Drosophila melanogaster: one gene and its partner. The protein of the gene in region 1 interacts with the protein of each later gene in a pairwise test. Each region holds a gene or a part of one and is shown on either strand. Other genes may lie near its edges.

Evidence for each region.
Region 2: the proteins of fkh (region 1) and CG11899 interact in a two-hybrid assay, tested with the Drosophila melanogaster proteins (one large-scale study listed by BioGRID).

What each region holds. Positions count from the first base shown.
Region 1 is NT_033777.3:28,580,470-28,587,319, forward strand, and holds fkh (fork head), read right to left. Parts: upstream 4,796-6,850; 5' UTR 4,085-4,795; coding exon 2,552-4,084; coding exon of another isoform or gene 2,006-2,551; 3' UTR 507-2,005; downstream 1-506. UniProt on the Drosophila melanogaster protein: Fkh promotes terminal as opposed to segmental development. In the absence of fkh, this developmental switch does not occur. The nuclear localization of the fkh protein suggest that fkh regulates the transcription of other, subordinate, genes.
Region 2 is NT_033777.3:29,198,416-29,202,499, reverse strand, and holds CG11899 (uncharacterized protein), read right to left. Parts: upstream 2,047-4,084; 5' UTR 1,980-2,046; coding exon 1,935-1,979; intron 1,850-1,934; coding exon 1,173-1,849; intron 1,117-1,172; coding exon 744-1,116; 3' UTR 730-743; downstream 1-729. Other genes in the region: Mesh1 (metazoan SpoT homolog-1), read left to right, coding at 41-118, 186-530, 592-708; CG14515 (uncharacterized protein), read right to left, coding at 3,343-3,415. UniProt on the Drosophila melanogaster protein: Catalyzes the reversible conversion of 3-phosphohydroxypyruvate to phosphoserine and of 3-hydroxy-2-oxo-4-phosphonooxybutanoate to phosphohydroxythreonine.

The DNA of each region.
Region 1 (6,850 bases):
TACTAGAAAGCAAACAGAGGGGAGTCGAGTCAAGTCGGGCAGAAGATATCCACTACCCTTCCCGCTCTTTTTGGCCAGAGGGATCGGGCTGGGTTGTGCTGGACTGAGATGGGTTAGTCAGTGTGTCAAGTCCGGGCGGGAATGGGTCGGTATAGGACGGTATGGGATGGGCTGGGATGGGTCCCATGTCCCATCCTGGTTGTTTGTTTACCTTCTTGTTCCGTTGCAATTTATGAGTGCACGGCGATAAGGGTTTATCGTGGCATGGTAGTGGTGGAAAACTGCACTCTGCATCTGAGTGACGGCGATAAGATAGCGACTCCTGGAACTACTCAGCTCAGCTATCGGTCGTTCAATTCGAATTCGCTGCATTGATAGCGTCGATAGCGTCGATGGAGATAGTCAGCCATCCGGGCGGCCCAATCAATATATAAATGATTGTTGGAGGTCAGTTGCTTGAGTCAACAAAGGTTGGGAAATGAAAACTAATTTATGGTACTTTTTTTCCTTTTTCTTGTATTTCAAACATTAAAATAGTCGATTTTGGTTGTCGTTGACGTTGTGTTTGTTTTGCATGATTTATAATAATATTAATTTTACTAGCTTTAGAGTTGGATTTTAATTCTTGCGTTGACATTTATTGAATTTTATATTGTGTATTTTACAATAATTTTCATTTGTTTCTGTGTCTGTCAGTGTCAGTATGTGTGTGTGTGTGTGGGTGTTTATATTTAGACTATTTTTTATCAAGTTTAATTAATTAGCTTAGCTCAATGTAAAAATGGGTCTTTGTTTTGTGTTTGCAATTGGTTTTTTATTTTTCATTACGCACAATATAACTAATATTAAAAATTATTGAATAATAATTGCAGTTTCGCTTTTTATGTGATTTTTTTTCATTTTTGTTTTTTGCTTTCATTATTTATGCTAATTAAACGTTAAATGCTATACAGTATTTATATTTATACTATGTTTACTTTCAAGTGGTGTGGCATAATTTCATACAATTTGATTAATTCTCGAGTTAGTTAAAAATTGGTTGCTTGCAATGGGTCCTTAGTTAAATTGGGTTTCTTGGGGAGGGGGTTGCTTAAATGTATCTATTTATAGATTATTTACAAAATGCCTTAATCTAACGAATTCGTACAACAACAGAAGACACATAATGTAAATGAAATGCGGGATTTTGCGATACATGGGCGTATATCGATGCGCGTATATATAAATGGAAATTTGTTAAATTATTCAGTTAAAACGTGTCGTTTTCTTATGCATGGCCAGATTTTGTTGCTTAGATAGTTGAAGATTCTTAGGGTTTTGCTGGACTGCTCAATATGATGATTTCGGTTTTAGATTTCTTTTTGGTTTTGATCTTTTGCGATTCGAATTCGATTGCGATTGCCTTTGGATAAAGGGTTTAGTATTTGTATCTCTCTTTTTGGGACTGTTTCATTTGGGGCTTTGTTTTATGAAAGAACATTACACACGATCCCTTCTTTACATCTCCTCTCCTCAATCTTCTCCTTAATCGGATACATTTAAAATGTGATTTCAAATTTTCAGTTATAACCGCTTTGATTGTTATTGCTTGTTTCGAAACAACGAAAACAAATGGCACGGAATTATTATTTTGTATTTGTATTAGCAAAACGTAAAATTGTTAACAAAAGTTCTGCTGCACTTACAACTACATCACGGTTTCTTTCGCTCCTCCTCCTCCTGCTCTATGTCGATTTAATAACCCCCCGGAACAGAATCTATATAATCTACAATATATAGTACTGGAACTGAACAACACAAAAGGCAGCGCTCTCGATCGGCTCTTCATAGGTATCTCTATATGTACAAGTGCGAGTTGCGGCCCAAGACTCACGTGCTCAAAGGATGAGGATGCGAGTGCGGATGCGGATGCGGCCAGGTGCTAAAAGCCACCGCCACTGCACTCGCTAATTGGCAGGCCCGCTACAAAGCCGCTGCCTGTGGAGATCGGGATCTATAGCTATAGCTACAGAAGATTCTGCAGAGCGGCGGCTCCATTGAAAGCCAGGCCGTGATTCCAATTTCTGTAGCCTGCCGCCGCGGCATACTGCTGATAGTTGTTGTACAACTGCTGCTGGGCGGCCTGATGCTGCTGCAGTTGCTCCTCGCTCAGATCGCTGGTGATGTTCGATGAGTCCTCCTGCAGTTCCTGCAGCAGTTGTTGCTGCTGCTGGTGGTGTTGCTGCTGCGCCGCCGCCTGCTGTTGTTGCTGCTGCTGGTGCTGCTGTTGCAGCTTCTGTGAGTAGTTAGAGCCCGATCCTGAACCCGATCCTGACCCAGATCCCGAGGCCGAAGCCGATCCCGCCTTGCCGCTGGCCTTTGCTGATGTTGCTGGTGTATTGGAAGCGGATGTCAGTTGCTGCGCCGACTGCTGCATCTGCTGCTGCTGCTGATGCAGCTGGTGCTGCTGCTGTTGCTGCTGGTGTTGCTGGTGCTGCTGCTGCAAGTGCTGTTGCTGCTGCGAGCGCAGCATCTGCTCCGCGCGTCCTTAAGCCAGCGGGTATTGGTGATGTCACAAGCTCGTGGTTCCGGCGGGCGCATGGTAGCCAAGACTCTGGTAGTAGGAGTCCTGGCCTAAGGCAGCGTGTGAGTTGGTCAGCGGACTGAGGGCGTTGTAGCCGGCGTACTGGCTCATGTCGTACATCTTGATGTCCGCCTTGGACTCCGTGGGCAGCAGGCGGTTGATGGAGAACGGATGGCTGGAGGGCGTGTAGCCAGAGGGCTCCTGCTTCAGCGGATGCATCGACGAGTGGTAGTCGGTGATCAGCGACGGATGGCACCGATTGGCCATCATCGCCGACAGCTCCTCCTGCTGCAACTGGTGGTGCTGATGGTGGTGATGTGTGGGCACATGCTGCGGCTGCTGGCTGAGGCACAGTTCGGCATTGGCATGCAACATGGCCAGGGCCTCCGCGTCCTTGCTGTGCGCTGCACTCAGGACATTTACGCCGGCGATCGATGCTCCGCCCGCCTCCTTGTGGTGCTGATGATGGTCCAGCCGGCTGTGGTGGTGGTGGTGCATGTGGTGCGAGTCCTCGTGATCCTTCTTGCCCGGACTGGTGGCCTCCAGGCTGCTGTGCGACGGACTCTTGTGCAGCTGCCTAATGGCCTCCTTCTTCTCGTCCTTGAAACGCTTCTGTCGCCGCAAATAGCACCCGTTCTCGAACATATTCCCCGAATCCGGATGCAGAGTCCAAAACGATCCCTTTCCTGGCTTGTCCGGCGTCCTGGGAATCTTTACGAAGCAATCGTTGAAGCTCAGCGAATGTCGAATGGAGTTCTGCCAGCGCTGCTGATTCTGCCTGTAGAACGGAAACAGATCCATGATGAACTGATAGATCTCCGAGAGCGTCAACATTCTGGTGGGGTTATTCTGAATGGCCATGGTGATCAGTGAGATGTAGCTGTATGGCGGCTTGGCATGCGTGTAGCTCCTTCTGTACGTAGTTGGTTTGTCCACCCGCGATCTGCCTAGGGAATTCGGCGATCCCGTCTCCATTTCCCGGGATCCCGGCGGCATGGCGCCATAGGTGCCGCTCAATCCCGCCGCCGACATACTCGCTGCCGACATGGCCATGCAGCCACCCATGTTCCCGAGCGGTGATCCCATGCTGGCGTAGCTCATCGAGCTGGGGGTCATGCAGTTGCCGCCCATTGAGTTCATGGCCGCCGCACCCATGCTGCCGTTCATGCTGGCATTCATGCTGGCGCTCATACTGGCACTCATGCTGGCGCTCATGCTGGCGACCGCCGCCGCCGAGTCCAGGACGCTGGAGCTGAATGTGGCCGCCGCCTGAGGGGAAACCGATGACATGCCACCCACCGGCAGGCCCATGCTGTTCATTGTGTAGGCGGATCGAGCCAGGGGACTCATGCTGCCGCCGTTGCTCGTCGGATTCGGGTTGTTATTGCTGGGCGGTGGGGGCCCACCGCCTCCTCCTCCGCCGCCGCCTCCACCGCCGCCCGACGGAGGACCACCGCCACCCGAGCTGGCCATGCTCACCGGAGCACTGCTCGGAGGCGGCTCCGCGTAGAGCTTCTGCATGATGTCAATGGTGGTCTGGTGGGGGCTACCCTTCAGAAAGCTGTTCAATAGTTGCGCCGTTATGTTGCCGGCTTTCGGAGGCGCTGCCCTCTGGTGGATCGATGGAAAAGGCAACGCGTTCTGCAACGCGTTAGTTAAAACGAAAATCAAAAAGGAGGTCTTTAAAACGTGGCTTTACTCTGATATATTGTATATCAACTGTGATTTCAGTGCACTATCACTGCTTCAATCGGTTTGCATATATCTGGCATTTTATCGAGAGCACTTCGGCACTTGTCACTTGTTGGCTGGAAGGTTCTGATTCCGTTTGCGATTCTGATTCTGATTCTAAGCTTTGTTTGTAAACACACACCGTGGTTTAATTATTTGTGCGGGATAATCATATAAAATATATATTTATTTTCTGTTATGATTCGATTCTTTTTGTATTTTCTTTGTATTTTTGTATGGGGATTTTTGTTGTCTGCCGCACCGAGCGGCCACAAAACACCGACGCACGAACGTGAATATCTAGCTGGCTGTTGGCCACTGAAGTCTGAAGCTGGGAGTTGTGCTGTGCTGTGCTGCTGCTTTTGCTGCTGCTGCTTTTGCTTTTGCTGCTTTGGCTGATGCTGCTGTTGCCGTTGCCGCTTTAGCTGCTGGTCCGCTCGAGTGTCTCTTTGGCTTGAGCTCTTGAATGTGACTGTTTGCAGAGGGGAACGCTTGTCTACTATTTGGCTTGCGCTTGCTGCCAACAAATATTGTTCGAGCCGCGCTCAAGTGCCTCGGCCGACGTCGGCGTCGACAGCGGCGGCAGCGGCAGCAGCGACGCGCCCGGGCAGCACCAGCTCCGACTCGTTCTCGCCAATGGCCCGGCGGTATAGTGCGTCTCACCACCACCCTGGCGGAGTTACCAATGACAGGCGGCGGTTCTCTTACGTACACAGTGGTGCTGCGGCGCAAGCGCATTGGTCGGTTGGCCTCTTGTATCAACAGAGCAGGGCCGGTTGCCAGGCAACTGGCCATTGGGGGGGCGTGGCCAGGCCGCAGTCAGCAACGCCCTCCACTCACACACCCTCAGCGGTGCGGACAGAGATACACGGGCAGAGATACCGGATACGCATACAGCTGCAGATACATTCGCAGTGGCCTAGCCTAATGCTGAGCGACGCCATGTTACAGTTAACGATTTTCCCTAATGCGATCAATAATCGCTCGCTCTCCTTCTCGCCGTAGCGTGCTATCAGAAAATAAAAAGAAAAAATGTGGAAAAAAAACCATTAAGACGGGTTCTGGAGACCGAATCTCTGGGGAGACTGAGAATGCGACGACGCTCTGTTTTTCGAGAGAAACAAAAAGACCGAGTGTTTTGGCCTGGCCTGGCCTGGCTTGGCTTGGCTGGGTTTGGCTCCCAAACAAGACATTTAATAATATCTGTGTGTGTTTTTTCAGCCAGTTTTTTTTCGTATCCGTACCGCTTTTTCCCTTTTGAGGTTAAGGTATGCCAATGTCACTCTCATTCATTCCCATTCGCATTCGTGGCGAGGCATCGCGAGCGGCAGCAGCAAATCATCAGAACAGCGGCGCAGTTCACCTTTTTGGCAAGTCATTGCGAAAGTGACCCAGTTCTGCATCTGGCCAGCATCAGCCGCATCTCATCCGAGCATCCCACTGCATCCTACCTAAGATACCCGAAACATAAGCATCCACAGTTCATTGATAGCGCGTGCTGGCAGCTACTTCCTGGTATCCTGGCAATTTATCCACGTTTATGGTCCCGGATAAAACGCATTCTAATTTCGGGCCATAAACCATAGACGCCTTTCCTATTCCGCTTAACCCTTTCGCTTGGCCAAGTGTATCTGCGAGTGCCTGTGTGTGTGTGTCCGTGTGCGAGTGTGTGCCAATCCGTGAGAGTGTATGTGTGTGAGCCAGGCTCATTATTGCGTGTCATAAAAGGACGATTGTCTCGTTTCTCAATGAATGTTTTGCTCAATTAAGATCTACCTGAGCGGGAGGAAAAGCGGGGAATTTCCGCATTACTTTTCCATTTGTCAATGCAGCAGTTCTTTCTCCTCTCACTTTTTTGTAGCCTTCATCTAGGCGCTGAGACATTGAATTTTTGAAATTATCAATGAAATGTAATGAAACATTTCGCTTGTGGGAGAAATCACATTTTTATGATCGCCCCATTTCCGAGTAATTATAATGACTAATGACTTATGTCATATAGAGCCGTTTCCCCTTCACAAAAGCACTACTGAGTAATATTTTTATCATATTCAAGATTATCTTCAAATTGTTTGAATAATTGTTTACAATAACCATGGGTTAGATAAGATTGAGAGATAAGCGAAACTGAATCAGGAAAAAATCTTTCGCTCAACAATGGTATTCATAATATTTAACCTGTTTAACATTGTTTGGCTTGCCACTCGGATATCTATATCCCATCGTGATGATCATTAAACATCAAACACTTTCGGTGACTGAGCACATATGTACTCAAATCCTTATGTGCACTTCTAATAACCGTAATGTGCTTAAATATTTAATATTTTTATTGTATTTCACAGGCAATTCAAGTGGCTTTGGCTCATTAATGTTTGCCGTGTGGGCGTTGGGTTGGTAGGTATTTTTGTTGTTCAGAGCGCATCAAATGTGTGCTTTTTTGGCGTAGACTCTCTGCAAATAGTAATGCCAGGCAGTCCAAAAATGTGTACTTATTTACCTTTAGTCATTTATCTATTTATTTATTTGCTTTAAAAGCGCGCCACTGTAGGTCGG
Region 2 (4,084 bases), 620 kb from region 1:
TTGAACTAAAGGCCCGTTCATTTAATTATTTCTTACAACAATGGCCACATATCCATCTGCCAAATTCATGGAGTGCCTCCAATATGCAGCTTTTAAGCACCGGCAGCAACGTCGCAAGGTAAGCTTATTAAAACGCAACAAATGATATATTTAAAACATGAATACTATCTTTTTTACATTTCAAGGATCCTCAGGAAACCCCCTATGTGAACCATGTGATCAATGTGAGCACTATTCTCTCCGTGGAGGCCTGCATCACAGATGAGGGAGTCCTAATGGCTGCACTTCTGCACGATGTCGTGGAGGATACGGACGCATCTTTCGAGGATGTTGAGAAACTCTTTGGACCGGATGTTTGTGGACTAGTGAGGGAGGTGACGGACGACAAGTCCCTGGAGAAACAGGAGAGAAAACGCCTGCAAATAGAAAATGCAGCCAAAAGCAGCTGCAGAGCAAAGCTCATAAAGCTGGCTGACAAATTGGATAACCTAAGGGATCTGCAAGTCAACACACCGACAGGGTGGACACAGGTATTTGGGCCCATCTTGGTTTGAAAAACGGAACCTTATGGATCACATATTTTCATTCCAGGAGCGTCGTGATCAGTACTTCGTTTGGGCCAAAAAGGTGGTGGACAATCTGCGAGGAACCAACGCCAACCTGGAGCTCAAGCTGGACGAGATCTTCCGCCAACGCGGCCTTTTGTAAACGATCAAAAACCAACAAATTACAGATGAACCTGTTCAATTTTTATTGTTCTTGTAAAAGGCCAGCATCAGATTGGCCAACTGTTGGGTCTCCGCCAGCGTTACAGCATTGTAGAGGGAGGCTCGAATGCCGCCCACCGACCGATGACCCTTCAACTGAATCATGCCCTCGGCCTCGGCTTTGCTCAGGAACTCCTTCTCCAGGGCATCATCTCCACTGGCACTGCCAATACGGAAGGGCACATTCATGCGCGAACGCACATTGACATCCACTGGGCAGTAGTAGAAACCATTCGACTGGTTGATCGTGTCGTAAATCAACTTGGACTTGGCTGCCGCCAGCTTGGCCATACCAGCGACTCCTCCGTTCCGCTTGATCCACTTGAAAACCAGGCCCATCACATAGATGCTGCAAGGGGAAAGTTTAACAAAGAATTCACCAGCCATGTATCATTCTGGGCTCACCCAAAGGTCGGCGGAGTATTTAACAGGGAGTTGTTCTTGTCCATCTGCTCAAAGTTGAGGATGGAGGGCGTAATCTTCAAGTGCTTGCCTATCAAATCGTCCCTGACAATGATCACCGTGGTGCCCGCTGGTCCGATATTCTTCTGGGCTCCCGCATAGATAACGCCAAACTTGGAGACATCGAAGGGACGCGACAGAAAATTGGAGGACATATCGGCCACCAGTGGCACACCGGCTGGAACCTCGGGCACAAAGTCGAACTCCACGCCCTCTACGGTCTCATTGTCGCAGTAGTAGACATATGAGGCATTTGGGTCCAGCTTCCAGGTCTCCTGTCGTGGAACAGTTGTATACTTTGCCAACTTGGGCAGCACCGCGTTCACAGTGCCGTACTGAGCCGCCTCCTTGGCCGCCTTGGCCGACCAGGAGCCGGTGATTACATAATCAGCAGTGCCAGTCTTGCCAATCAAGTTCAGAGCCACTGCAGCGAACTGTCCGGTGCCACCGCCCTGCATCAGCAGAATCTTGTAGTTACTGGGCACATTGAGGAGTTCGCGAAGATCGCTGATGGTCGCATCATGGATCTTGGCATAGTTGCTGGAGCGATGGGACATCTCCATGACCGAGATGCCGCTGCCATTGCAGTTGACAAGATTTTCCTGCACCTCTTTCAGTACCTATATATGCAGATAGAGATAACCATGTAATCAAGGTTACTATTACACGTCACGTGTGTGGAGTGGTGCCACCCATTTCACCGACCTCTTCGGGCAACTTGGCTGGACCGGCGGCGAAGTTGATAACCATGCTGATACTATGTAGTGCGTCTGCGATCTATGAACCTCTCCGGGAAGCGGCTAAATATTGACTAAAGTGTTGAGCAGTCCGTGCGAGTATTCGCAATCGCTGATAAACGAGACGAAGGCGGGCACAGAGAACAGCAACAAGTCACCGGACAGTAAACAAAACGCGTGCGGAAAACCAGACTCAAATTCGCCCGACTGGACAACGAACTCGGTTGCTCCAGGGACGGATTCTCCACCGGGAGGGTGTTCGACTCCAAGCCCCCCATTTTGGGCTGCGCTCCTGTGGAGTCCATAAAGCCAGACAAAGGCAGGCGGCGGTACGGCGAATTCGATCAAAACAAGTCGGCTAACGTATATAATTACATATGTACGTACATACATACATATGTACATATGTGCAACGCACGAAAACAAAGTGCTTCCCAGTAACCCCCCCACTTCATCGTGTGTGTGCCCCGCCCCCAAGCCAGCGTGGGTTGCCATGCACTTTTCGCTGGAATGACAATAACAAGCGAGCGACTGAGTTCGCAGGCGAGTAAACAAGCTGCAAGCGAAATGTGTAAGTGCAATGTACAGTGGAGCTTCGATGCATGCGACAGTGAGTTTATGATTTCATAGCTTTTTATTGAATTATCTGTAGAGTATAACCAATATTAGGCATTATATATTTAACTAAGGCTTAAGTAAGTTGGCTACCATAATTGGTAGTAAATTTCAAGCAAAACAAACCGTCTGCCGATTAGCAATTCCGCGAACTCTTTTGCACGCCTGGTCATATCTGCAAACCGATTCCTTATCCTTATCCGCTTCCTATTGTTGTAAGGGCAATCAATCAGAAGTGCTTTAGACCTATGCTACGAATACTTATCTTGGCCTATGTCTTGGTCAAATTCGTTGGCCGTCTAATTACTTTATAGCACAGCCAGCCTGAAAGGTGCTTAGAGTTTCCAATTTGCCGGGGCGCCCAAAACGAATTTCCTATGAGAAGCTGGCCAACGTGTCTGGAAACCCAAACGTGCTCGGCTCGTGCGTTCCATTTCGGACTTGGAGTGGAGTGGGTGGGAGGATGTGGGCGGATGTGGGTGGCAAGGTGCTGTCTGTGGTGGGCGACGGGAACTGGTTCGCCTCGTTGGGCGCTGGGATGTGGGCTGGTCATTCATAAGCGCTGAGCCAAAAAGCCAATAATTTTGCCCTGTAATGTTGATTGCACAGCTCAATGGGGCGCCTTTGGCGTCCGACGTCCAAGACGTCGGAATGGTGAATGGCAGTCGAAAAAAAATCCTCAAACAACAATTTCGTTTTGACTAATTAGGGTTTTTAAGATTTATTGCCCGGCTGCCTTAAAAGTAAGTACATAATTTCAGTTATGGCCGCTCCGCCTGCACTTTGTTCACAATGTCGCTCCAAAACGTTCCGTACTCCTGTAGCACAGTGCCCCTGCAGCGAAAAGTGAAAATGTTAATTCTTATGGTTGCTCGCAAGTCATGATTTTTTCTAATTTATTCGCAAGGAAGTCTATAAATAGTTAGTAGACAATGATTAGGCAATATTAGCAGATGATTTTTAAGGTGAGACGACACTGGACTACAGTACTTTCAAATCAAATGGTTATGGAGAAAATAATACATTTTATAGCTTATAATTCTGTGCATTAATTCCCTTAGTGTACTATGATGATTGATTTCAGATCTTGTGCAAGATGTGTCCATAAACTTTGCTTGTCTGTTTGTGATTAATACCCATATTTGCATATTTTGGTTTTGGTAGAATGACAAATGAGACAAGTGTCCGGAAAATAAGTTTTGTGTGGTTAATTCACAGTTGGCACTTGTCTATGTTGGCCAGTGTTATCTGCCGACAAAGTTGACAAAGTTGCATAAAAAGCATTGACAGCTTTTCTTTGGCTTTTTTGAGCTTGTCACTGTGCGGCGTCTTTGCCGTTTGATGCCTTTTTTTGTGGACCATTGATGAGGGGTGTGCTCTTTCCAAATAAATCAATTACATAATGCCTTTTGTGCGATTATCCGGCAAGTTTTTGTCCGCCTGACAATTATGCGCGCATTACATTATGTGGGTCAACGTGGCGTATGATTAATGAATCCCTTC